Tribolium castaneum: one gene and its partners. The protein of the gene in region 1 purifies or fractionates together with the protein of each later gene. This does not show direct contact. Links are inferred from orthologs where the notes say so. Each region holds a gene or a part of one and is shown on either strand. Other genes may lie near its edges.

What was found. Proteins that work in one complex are often made in the same cells at the same time.
Region 2: the proteins of osa (region 1) and Bap60 purify together in Drosophila melanogaster (affinity purification with mass spectrometry; 3 studies listed by BioGRID, with this or other methods). This does not show direct contact. The link is inferred for Tribolium castaneum from reciprocal best matches to the Drosophila melanogaster genes osa and Bap60.
Region 3: the proteins of osa (region 1) and mor purify together in Drosophila melanogaster (affinity purification with mass spectrometry; 3 studies listed by BioGRID, with this or other methods). This does not show direct contact. The link is inferred for Tribolium castaneum from reciprocal best matches to the Drosophila melanogaster genes osa and mor.

The regions. Positions count from the first base shown.
Region 1 is NC_087403.1:4,034,006-4,037,520, reverse strand, and holds part of osa (trithorax group protein osa), read left to right. Parts: intron 1-805; coding exon 806-1,732; intron 1,733-2,448; coding exon 2,449-2,630; intron 2,631-3,039; coding exon 3,040-3,084; intron 3,085-3,233; coding exon 3,234-3,422; intron 3,423-3,482; coding exon 3,483-3,515. UniProt on the Drosophila melanogaster protein: Trithorax group (trxG) protein required for embryonic segmentation, development of the notum and wing margin, and photoreceptor differentiation. Required for the activation of genes such as Antp, Ubx and Eve.
Region 2 is NC_087395.1:25,852,054-25,855,997, reverse strand, and holds Bap60 (brahma-associated protein of 60 kDa), read left to right. Parts: upstream 1-1,457; 5' UTR 1,458-1,674; coding exon 1,675-1,788; intron 1,789-1,835; coding exon 1,836-2,002; intron 2,003-2,090; coding exon 2,091-3,156; intron 3,157-3,205; coding exon 3,206-3,361; 3' UTR 3,362-3,442; downstream 3,443-3,944. Other genes in the region: fibroblast growth factor receptor substrate 3, read right to left, coding at 1-137, 386-1,011. UniProt on the Drosophila melanogaster protein: Involved in the recruitment and site-specific anchoring of the Brahma complex at specific promoter sites.
Region 3 is NC_087395.1:15,650,950-15,655,003, forward strand, and holds the start of mor (SWI/SNF complex subunit SMARCC2), read left to right. Parts: upstream 1-1,252; 5' UTR 1,253-1,966; coding exon 1,967-2,083; intron 2,084-2,131; coding exon 2,132-2,365; intron 2,366-4,054.

The DNA.
Region 1 (3,515 bases):
TTATTTTATCAATTTTTTTATTATAGTTTGTGGTTGATTCCATTATATACTTGATAAAGCGCAGTCAAGTATTTTTGCATTATGCATTAGAACAATAAAAATAAACTTGAAAGCACTACCGCTTGTCTTTTTTTTTCAGACAATGTAAAATATTTTTGCAGCATAAGCGCCATTTATTTGTGGTATTATCATCATCTCTCCGCCTATTGTATGATACATACTACAGTGATTTAGTGATTTTAGATTCTAAAAATTTATTTACGACGTAGTATAAATTTTACTACGTTAAAAAAATAATTTTTGATGTAGTTATTAAAATCAATATTTTATTGAGATAGTGTGACCATAATGACCCCAGTAAAATGTTTTACGACAGTTTTAGTAAAATTTTAATCGAAAAGGGCTTGTAAGCTGTTTGTATCTCGATTACTTGGCATTCACTTGTACAGTCACACCTACGCCAAACCTAACATTGCAATTTTTTCAAAATTGTTTGAATTCCGAAAATGATTAGGGCAAGGTACGAACTTTTGCCTTGCCTCGGCGTCTAAAGTTGTTTGAAATCGTATATGGTGCTGTTATTTGTTGTTTTCCGGGATTTATTTGCGCCAATTTCCGGCCGCCAAAACCTGTAGAAAGTGTTTGTGAGTTGTGCCAAAATTTGCTAGGATTTTTTGACCGCTCTGACTTGAAACATGTGAGACGGACGTAAGGTCCGTTTGTGTTTGTGATGGTTGTCGTGTCGGTGTCAATAGTGAAACATTGAAGTGTCAAGCACCGTCTTCATTCGTTTTTGTTTTTCCAGGTCAGCAAAACATTCCGATGCCTCCTCGGCCGTCCAGTGGTCAATCAGATGGCAGTGGATCAACTCGAATGAGCCATTCGCCGATGGCGACGCAAGGCAGCTATTCGTCGCCTCATCCGGCCCACGTTCACGGTTATAAGGGCCATCCGGGCATGGTGTCCGGCCCAGGGCCTGGCCCCGGCCCCGCCGGCCAGCAGATGCCGCTTTATCAGCCCAACCAGCAGTACCCGCAAGGCGGTTATCCGCCGAGGCCCCAAGCCAACATCCAGTATCCCGGCCAGGGCTACGGCCCCCCGGCGTCGCAAGCGCCGCCCCCTAACAACAACATGTCTCCGCAACAGTATCCGAATCGGTCGTCCAACCACATGCCGAATTCGCAATTTCAGCCGTATCAACAACCGTGGCAAGGACCGATGACGTTAGCGAAAGGTAACGGACCGCCGCAAGCCCCAGGATCACCTTCGCCCGGTCCCCCGGGACCGCCGCCGCGACCTCCGCACTACCTCAAACAACACCTACAACACAAAATGGGCTTCGGTAACGTTCCCGGATCGGCGCCACCGAGTCCAAGTCCGCCGCAGAATTACCACATGGGTCCGCCGCCGGCGGGACACCACCATTCGGGGATGGGACCGCCGCCCACTATGGGACCGCCGCCGAATATGCCACCCGCGAGCAGTCCCCTAATGCCTAACAGCCATTCACATGACGGTCCCATGCCGCCACCGAGTTCGACACCGAATTCACATACGCAAATGGGTTCTGAAATGATGGATAATGGGATTACGACAACGGCACAAGGTGGGATGAGTACTCATGTCACAACGGCGGCGGGAGGATCGGTTACTTCCGTTGTTACAACAGGACCTGATGGGACACCGATCGATGAAGGATCGCAACAATCGACACTGTCAAATGCATCAGCCGGTAATAAAACGAGTAGAATTTGCCTGTCTTATCTTTGTACAAATAAAATTTCCCTCAACCGAGCTTCAATTAACTTCAAATTCAACCTTCGGTTTTTATCGTAGCGGTAGTGTTTCATCACAAAAAAGATTTATAACGTATTAATATTTAACTGATTTTTTTCTCAGTTACTCTCGTATGTTTATCTGGTTAAGTTTTTTCGTACGTTTTTTTAATCTTATGTTACTGAAATTTTATCTGTTTTTCGGTAAGTGGTGCGAGTTTCTAAATAATTTCAATGAAAATAAAAAATAGTGTTCATCGTCTTTAAAAAAATAAACAAGAAGGTGTTTGGCTGCGACTTTTTACTCATAAAACGAATAAATATAGTAGTATATTCTAATAGTCGGAAAAATCATAATAGTACATACATATTGAATTTCTTTCTAATTTTGGTGTCGACTGCGTATTTTTGAGTCTGAAGCAATTTTAAACAATTCCGCTGGTACATAATTTTGTAGTGCGTAATTTCAAGAATTTACGGAGATTGCGACCATTACTAAGCTTTGTTTTTGAATCATTAAAAGGGGGGGACCTGATGTATAAAGTCAAATTATTCGCTTTTGCGAAAATGACTTTTCCCCTCGGTTCTGAGCGCCGAGATCTCGGAATATTGAAAATTTTTTCACAATTTAATTTTGGTAAAATGAAGTTTGATTGATTTTATTTGATTGCAGCTTCCGGCGAAGATCCCCAGTGTACCACACCGAAATCGAATCGGAAAAATGAAATGGGTCACTATAGCCATCCAACAACGCCGCAAAGTACAGTGCCATCTCCTGGTGCAGCAAGTATGAATTCAATGCATGACGACTACGAAATAAGCAGTCCAAGTTGGCCAAGGACCCCCGCAAGTCCAGTAAGTGGTAGATTTATATGACAATACGGCATCGTAAGTGTTCACACACAATCATATGTGTTTTAAATATTTTAAATGTATTTACCACTCTACACAAGTTTTTGTTAAAATGCATATAAGTATTATATTGAAATTGTGTGATCGAGTTCTGTGGCATTCAGTAACGTAACTGAAAATTTTTAATACGATTGGGATACCACCTACCGCTATATCCGTAGATGAAAATTTTTTAGTGACTGATGACTGTGTATGGACCTGCATTTTTCGAAATAAATTTTTTCATTTTGTGTCGTAATTACGGGTGGGACCGGTGTTTTCTGTTGGTGTTTTTTTCTTTAGCCCACTTAACAAACAGCTTAAGTCAATTGTGTTTAGTGTGTTCATTGAGCTAACTGGCGGGTGTTTCCAGGTGTTTAACAGTCATGTGCCTCCTCCGGACACGTATCGCTCAAAGGTTTATATATAATATTATTTAATGTCGTGCTAATGCTTGTGATAGCATGTCAGAGGCATGTTTTATGTAGTGCTTGACGTTTAGAAACCACAATTCAGAAAGAGGGACTTTTGTTTTTATCCTTTGCTTATTCTTTATGTATTTTGCAGAAAACTGATAGTCTCAGCAAGTTATACGAAATGGATGACAGTCCAGATAGACGTGCTTGGTTGGATAAACTACTCACATTTATGGAAGAGAGAAGATCGCCAATCACTACTTGCCCTACTATTTCCAAGAACCCGCTTGATTTGTTCCGTTTGTATGTCTATGTTAAGGACAGGGGTGGTTTTCTGGAGGTACTACTATTATTTTCACTTATTTAGCTAGTTAGAAATAATGTTCTTTTATTTTCGAAGGTTACGAAAAACAAAACATGGAAAGATATCGCC
Region 2 (3,944 bases), on another chromosome or scaffold:
AATCTTTGGTGTCTATATTGGCGTAGCAATGTCTTGCGTTGTCCTCGGAAGGATCCGAGTCTTTGGTTCCAACGGTGTCCACATTCATGTACAGGTGGCACGGACTCTCCACAAGGGGGCGCAGCTCCTCCCCACATCTAAATACCCAGTGACTTTATTTTTATTTAAATCAAAACTGCCAAATTAAAATTTTTAATTTATCACCAACTTATTATTATTTAAAGGCAGAAAATTATAAATTATTCACCGAAGAAAAAAAATATAAAAGTGGCACAGTTGGCAAAGCTGTTTATTTAGCAAAATTTCAATCTAACTGACAAAAATGTGTAAAAAAAATCGGTAAAAGCGCCCTAAATGAAATAAATCTGGGACTTTAGCAACTTACCCCTCGGGGGCTGCGGCGCCTAAGTTGGCATAATTGGGAGCCTCCAACTCAGTAATAACACTGGAATTGGTGTACTGGTGGTCCCCCAAACTGCCCCTCTTATTATTATTGTGTTCGTGCGTCGACTCGGCCGTCGTGGGGCTCACCGGGCCGTTGCTGGTGATGGACCCAGGGCGGCTCAGACTCGGCCTGGGGGCCCCCACCGGATTGAGATAGCCCTCGGGCTGGGACGGGGCGCGTCGCTGCACAGGGGGCCCCGTGGAAACGGCCGGAAAGTCCGAAATGGCGTTAATAAGGGGGTTCTCGTCGGAATTACGTACAATGTGATGTTGGACGATATTGAAAAGTTGCTCAGCCTTGCGGCACCTAAACGCATAAATGCCTTGGCCAGTGGGGCACCTGCGACCGCACTCGAAACTGAAAATTTCCGAGTCGAAGCCGTACTTGCGCAGCGACCTGAGGGGCCACACTGTGGGGTTTTTGCCTCTTTGGTGTAGGACTAGTTCAGTTTCCCGGACTTCGAGCTTGCCGGGGCTCACCAAGTCGCCTTGGTCGTTGACGTTGGATACGTCGAAAATGTTCGGGTGTTGATCGTTTATGTCGGGCTTGCTGCTAACACAACCCATTTTCTACCTAGGAGTAAGGGGTAAATAAACATCAAGGTTATTTGGTTGGGGGCACTTACTAGGTTTGGCTCAAAGCTTGATTGCATGGACACGTGGCTTTTCAGGCATTCTGACCAAAAATTACTGTTTTTACATTTTGTTGTGAGTTTTTCGGGGTTTTTTAACCAATTTTTATGTGAAGTTCTCACATAATAAACAGCGACGCCATCATGGTTCTTCTGTCACCAGGCCGGCAACCAAACACAAAAAATGCGAAAATAAATTCATTTGACCACCGGCAACAACCCCACGGGCCCCAAAACACCCACAACAACACGCGTAAACAACCCAACAACCTTTCTGAAAATTTTTAAACAAAATACGGAAAAACAACGGTGTTGGTACCCCTACTAGTAGCTCAACTGGTCACAATCTCACAATGTTCACAAAACCTAATAGTGAATTCACACCTTTTTCGTATTTTTTTCCCAAACTTTGATTCAATAAACCCAAAGGTCGCAAAACCGTTCTTAATCACACATTTACTATTGATAATTCCTTATCAAATTAACAATTTCGTCCACGCACACCTTCGTCACCAAACCCACCAAACACACAAGACCGAAACTGGGCAACTGGGGACGCATCTGTGTGTTTTTTGTGCTTAAGAAGTGATAAAAGGCCATGGCCCAGCGTTTCGCGGGCCCCGTGCCGCCCCAAGGTCCCGGGGGGCCCCCACCCCAGCGTTACCCGCCCCAAAATCCGGGAATGCGCCAGTACCCAGCCCAGAATTTTCCGGTGAGTTTCCCCATTTTCCACCCAATTATTTCTAATTCGCACTATAGCAACGGACAGGGTACAACACCCCGCCCCCGAACATGGGGGCCCAGCCGGGCGCTATGATGCCGCGGCCCCCTCAAGCCCCCTATTCGCCCATGCGAGGGGGGCCCATGCCGCCCCAGCCGGGCGTTAAACGGCCCCCGGACAACAGGGCCGTCATGCAGCAAAAGAGGTAAGCAATTGGGAGTATACAGAATTGTTATTTTTATTTATTTCAAATATTTGTATTTGTTCGAAAAAATCGTTTACGCTGTTGGCAGTGATTACCCACATGGAACCAAGAAAAAGAAGAAGCTTTCCGACAAGATTTTGCCCCAAAAAGTCAGAGATTTGGTGCCCGAAAGCCAGGCCTACATGGATTTACTCGCGTTTGAGCGTAAATTAGACTCGACCATAATGAGAAAACGGTTGGATATTCAAGAGGCGTTAAAACGTCCAATGAAACAAAAACGCAAATTGAGGATTTTCATCTCTAACACGTTTTATCCAGCCAAAGAGGCGTGCGCCGAGGGCCCAGACGGCCCTGGACAAGAGGGCTCCGTGGCCTCTTGGGAGTTGCGAGTCGAGGGCCGCCTTTTAGACGACTCGAAAAGTGACCCCAATAAAGTCAAACGCAAATTTTCGTCATTTTTCAAATCGTTGGTGATTGAGCTCGATAAGGAGTTGTACGGTCCTGATAACCACTTGGTGGAATGGCACCGTACCTTAACAACTCAAGAAACAGACGGTTTCCAGGTCAAGAGACCTGGGGATAAGAATGTGCGGTGCACTATTCTTTTGTTACTCGACTACCAACCGCTACAATTCAAACTCGACCCGCGATTGGCCCGTTTATTGGGCGTGCACACGCAGACACGCCCCGTTATCATCTCCGCCCTATGGCAGTATATAAAAACGCACCGATTGCAAGACGCCCACGAACGCGAATACATCGTGTGTGATAAATATCTCGAGCAGATCTTCGGGTGTCCTCGGATGAAATTTGCGGAAATCCCCCAACGTTTAAACCCGTTGCTCCACCCACCGGACCCTATCGTCATCAATCACGTGATCTCGGTGGAGGGCGGGGCCGAAAGCAAGCAAACCGCCTGCTACGATATTGACGTGGAGGTGGACGATACGCTCAAAACTCAGATGAATAATTTCCTGTTGAGCACAGCTAGTCAGCAGGAGATCCAAGGTTTGGATGCGAAAATTCACGAAACTGTCGATACGATTAATCAATTGAAAACAAATCGTGAGTTTTTCTTGAGTTTTGCCAAAGATCCGCAACAGTTTATTTACAAGTGGATCGTGTCACAAACCAGGGATTTGAAGGTATGGAAAGTGAGTGTATTAGGGTGGAAAAGTGGCATTTTCCGCACGTTTGTTCTAGTGTATGACCGATGTGGTGGGCAATCCTGAAGAGGAGCGGAGGTCCGACTTTTTCTACCAACCGTGGGCGCAAGAAGCCGTGTGTCGCTATTTCTACACCAAGGTGCAGCAAAAAAGGGCCGAACTGGAGCAAGCACTCGGCATTCGCAACAATTGAGCGAAACCAGCACGAGATATGTATTAGTTTATTTGAATATAATTTCCAGCATTTAATAAATAAACTGCATTTTTAACTCAAGTCACTTTCCTTAAAATGTCTCCAAATAACCAAAAACAAACTCACTAAGGCTGGAGAATTTTTCCTCAAAAATTCAGTGATTTTTTTCCTATAAGGGTGAAAAATTTTCGGCAACAATGAGGGAAACAAACAGGAAATTTGTATTAGTTTATTAGAATATAATTTCCATCATTTAAATAAATAAATTGCATTATTGACTCAAGCATCCACTATCAGTTTCGTTACACAACTACGACAGCTGTACCAAAGACTGTTACTAAACAATTATCTACAGTCAACAAAAACAAATAAATTAGAAATGCAATTGTGCACCAATCGGGTCTTTGACGGAAGAACAAAACTTTGCTACTTATCACAATGAAATTAGATTGCATCGGAGCGATTAGCACTTGCGCCCGTCAAGCCAACCGTCCGACCTGCACCATTGAGAAAAACAACAAAATAAAATCGTTTTAAAAAAATATATACTTAGACCACTACAAGCAATCAATCAATCGTAAAC
Region 3 (4,054 bases), on another chromosome or scaffold:
AGAATAGGGTGTACTTTTTAGCGTTTATAGACCCATTTGCAATAAAATCTCAGTTAAAGTTACCATTTTCAAAATGGATTGTATTAAATTTTTAGCCCTTTTCTTATTGACCACCTAAAGTTTTTTTTTTGTGGATCCTTTTTGCCTCTCCGTCCATATATTTCACGGTCCGTAGAGCCGGCTCTGTATTATAATAAATAATAAATAATTTTTGTGATCCAATTTTTGAAAACATTTTATTTTGGGGTGAAATAACTTCTAAACGCTTGATTTTTTTGTAAAAGAAAAATCTCTGTTAGAACTGAACTCTACTGACAATATTTCAAACAAGATGCTCTATTTCATGAAGAAAAAATATTATGAAAAGTGATAAAAAATGATCCTTTTTTTAACTGATTGTTTTTTTAACGAATCACCCTGGATGTTAGAAAACAAACAAAAAAACTAGTAAATCCGAAAACAGGTCAATTTTTATTTACAGGGGACACCTGTTAGTGTCCTTTCGAAATTTGTAGCACCTACCTCTTTTGTATTAAAAAATTAAAAACAACACCTTCACAATTCGAAATACCTCAAATGAAAGGTATTTTGACAAGGAATTTAGGCTTTTTTAGTGTTTTTTTTTTTTAGTTGAGCTAGACCTAAAAACTAGGAAAATTTTTCTAATAAAGTCGCGAACTTAAATATCAGTCAACACAGGACACACAAGAAAGTTAACGCCAGATAGGGGAATGGTAAAATATAATAAAAAAAAATAAAGCTAATGTAAAAAAAATATTATAAACTATATTAATTATAAAATCATTTACCAATTTCAGCAAAACTATTCTGTAAAACTATAAATATGATTTTTTTCTGATGTTAGCTTATAAAAAAAAATGGCTTCTCAACGTTTCTGCGCTTTCTCCATCCATGAATGAACTATTCACAGTTACGTAAGTTTTAATTATAATTTAAAACAATCTAGAGACGAGGCGGTCTAATAATAATACTCTAAGCGCTCGTTTTTATTTTTAAGCTTTTTTCTGAACCGAATACCTAGTATAGGCGTCAGCTTTGTTAATTTGTAACTTTTACCCAAGTGACGTTAATAGAAGCAAAAATTTGGTTTGTATATCCTATGCTAGTAAGCTAGTATGTTCTCATTTTTGGTGCTTCATTACTTCAATATTGTGTATAAACATGTCGTGATAACGGAATTAGGAAAAAGGGAGGAGAATTGAATTAGATCACAAAGAGGTAAGTTTTTGTAACTGTTTTTTTTTCCTTGCCAAAAAATTTCAGTGCACGCCACTGCTGCGAGCTCATTCGTGCACCGGAACGTAACGCGGGGATTGTTTGTTTGTTTGCACATGAGCCAAACCAGAGATCACGTTCAAAGTAACGTGGAGACCCACGTGATCCCTACCTATTACACCTATCAGAGCGAAACTTTTGGCCACGGGGGCGAGGTACCCGAGCCCCAAAACTGGCAGTTTCGCCCCCGTTTGAGGCCCAGCATAAGCCCGTCGAGCTTCAGACAACGCGAAGACCCGATTTTTTTCGGAAATGCCTCAGCTGCGGTCACGTTTCACGTGAGCTGTTAGGTAACGCCAGGAAAATTCACGACCGCTCATTTCACACGTTTCGGCTTACATAAGTTGTTTTGATCTGTTATTTCCCTACATGTGAACGTTTCCAGTCCATGACAGTGAACGTGCATCGGCCCGTGAAGCGTGGGCACGTGTTGCAAACACGCTCACGCTCGAAATTCAAATTTCCCGCCCCGGATAACGTATTACTGGTTGCCCATACTTCGCATTTTGACAATTGACATTATTGTGATATTCAAGCGTCGGTTTATTTCGCTAAATTTACGCTATTTATTTGTATATTTCTGTAAAGTTTACCAAAGTAATGTACAATTTAGTTAAGTCTCAGTAATACGGTAGTTTCGTAAGTCGGGAATTATTCTTCTGTGGGCAAAATGATGGGCTACGGCCCCAAAAAGGACGGCGGTCCTAACGTGAAATACTTCGAATCGCCGGAAACCCTCGCGGCCCTCGAGCTTGTGAGGCAGTGGCTGCAGAAGAATGGCAAAAAGGTGAGGTTCTGAGCGCTGTGAGTGCCCCCATCATTGTGGTTGTTTCAGTATTTTCAAGCCGAACCTGTCACTAATAAGAGTCTCTCCATGTTGGTTTTGCAATTGATGCAATTCCAGGAGGACTTTTTGGGCAAAAATGTGCAAAAGCCGCCCATGATCCGCATCCCGGTGCGGTATTTTATGGATTTTAAGCCCGGGGGCGCCTTGTGCCACATGCTGTTGGCGGCGTACAAGTTCAAGAGCGAGCACAATTGGCGCCGGTTTGAGATACCAACAGGCAAAGTGAGTATCCTGTCTTAAAACTTTGGCGTAAAATAGTATTTTCCATAATTATTTCTTTTTCTGTACGGTGGAACCTACAAATTTTGGTTTGAAACTCAGCTAAATTTGTAACCCTATTTTGCTAATTGATCATCTTATGACCAAAAATATCGGTCATAAATATGTCTGTCTAACGTAAAATTGTCGAAGGATTCCAAATCTGTCCTCATTTTTCTTCTACGATTTGTAGTTTTGGAGATATTAGATGATTTCCATTTTTCTAGTTAGCAAAAATTTAAAAAAGTAGAAATAGATCTATTCGTAACAACGACTTGTAGCCCTCTTTACTAATGAATTATCTGTTTTTGAGGAAAATTTTGTAACAATCCAGTCAAAATTGTGCAATTAATCCGGATAAAATAACTTGGTTAAAATTTTAATTTACTTATCTGTCAATAAAAAAATACTAAGATCGCAATAACCAAAAATATAGGTCATAAATATGTCTGTTCTGATAAATCTGTTCTGATTTTTGTTTTACGATTCGTAGTTTCGGAGATATTAACTGATGTATGGTGATTTCCATTTTTTTAGTTACCAAAAATAAAAAAATAGAAATACTAGATCTGGTCGTAAAAACGACTTGTAACCCTCTTTGCTAATTAATTACCTATTCCTGTGCAAAATTTAGTAACAATAGATTCAAAATTGTGCAAATAATTTGAATAAAACAAGTTGGTGAAATTTTTTATTTACTTATCTGGCAATAAAAAAATCATCAAGATCACAATAACCAAAAATACAGGTAAAAATTACGTCTAGCTGACGTAAAATTGTCTGAGGATTCCCAGTCTCTCCTGATTTTTGTTCTATGATTGGTAGTTTTGGAGATATTAGACAATATACGGTCGATTTCCATTTTTACAAGCTACCAAAAATAAAAAAAAATCTATCTAATCTAAAATTGTCTGAGGATTCCGAATCTCTCCTCATTTTTGTTCTATGATTCGTGGTTTGGAAGATATTTTAGATGATATCCGGTCGATTTCTATGTTTCCAATCTACAAAAAATAAAATAAAAAGAATTAAAACTACTCGTAAAAATGACTTGTAGCCCTCTTTACTAATCAACTATCTAGTCCTGCACAAAATTTAGTGAAAATCTAATGAAAATTCTGAAAATAATCCGAACAAAACAACTTGGTCAAAATTTTGATTTACTTTTCTGCAAATAAAAAAATCATCAAGATCACAATAACCAAAAATATCGGTCAAAAATATGACCATCTAACGTAAAATTGTCTGAGGATTCCAAATTTTTCCTCATTTTTGTTCTACGATTCGTAGTTTTGAAGATATTTTAGACGATATACGGCGGATTTCCATTTTTCCAGTCTACCAAAAATAAAAACAAATAAAATAAATCTACTTTTAAAAACGACTTGTAGCCCTCTTTACTAATTAATTACCTATTCTTGCACAAAATTTAGTAACAATCGGGTCAAAATTCTGAATATAAATCGAATAAAACAACTTAATCAAAATTTTGATTTACTTATCTGCCAATAAAAAAATAATCAAGGTCACAATAATCAAAAATATAGGTCAAAAATATGCCTCTCTTACGTAAAATTGACTGAGGATTCCGTATCTGTCCTCACGTTTGTTTTATAATTCGTAGTTTTGGATGTTTTAATTTTTCCAGTTTGC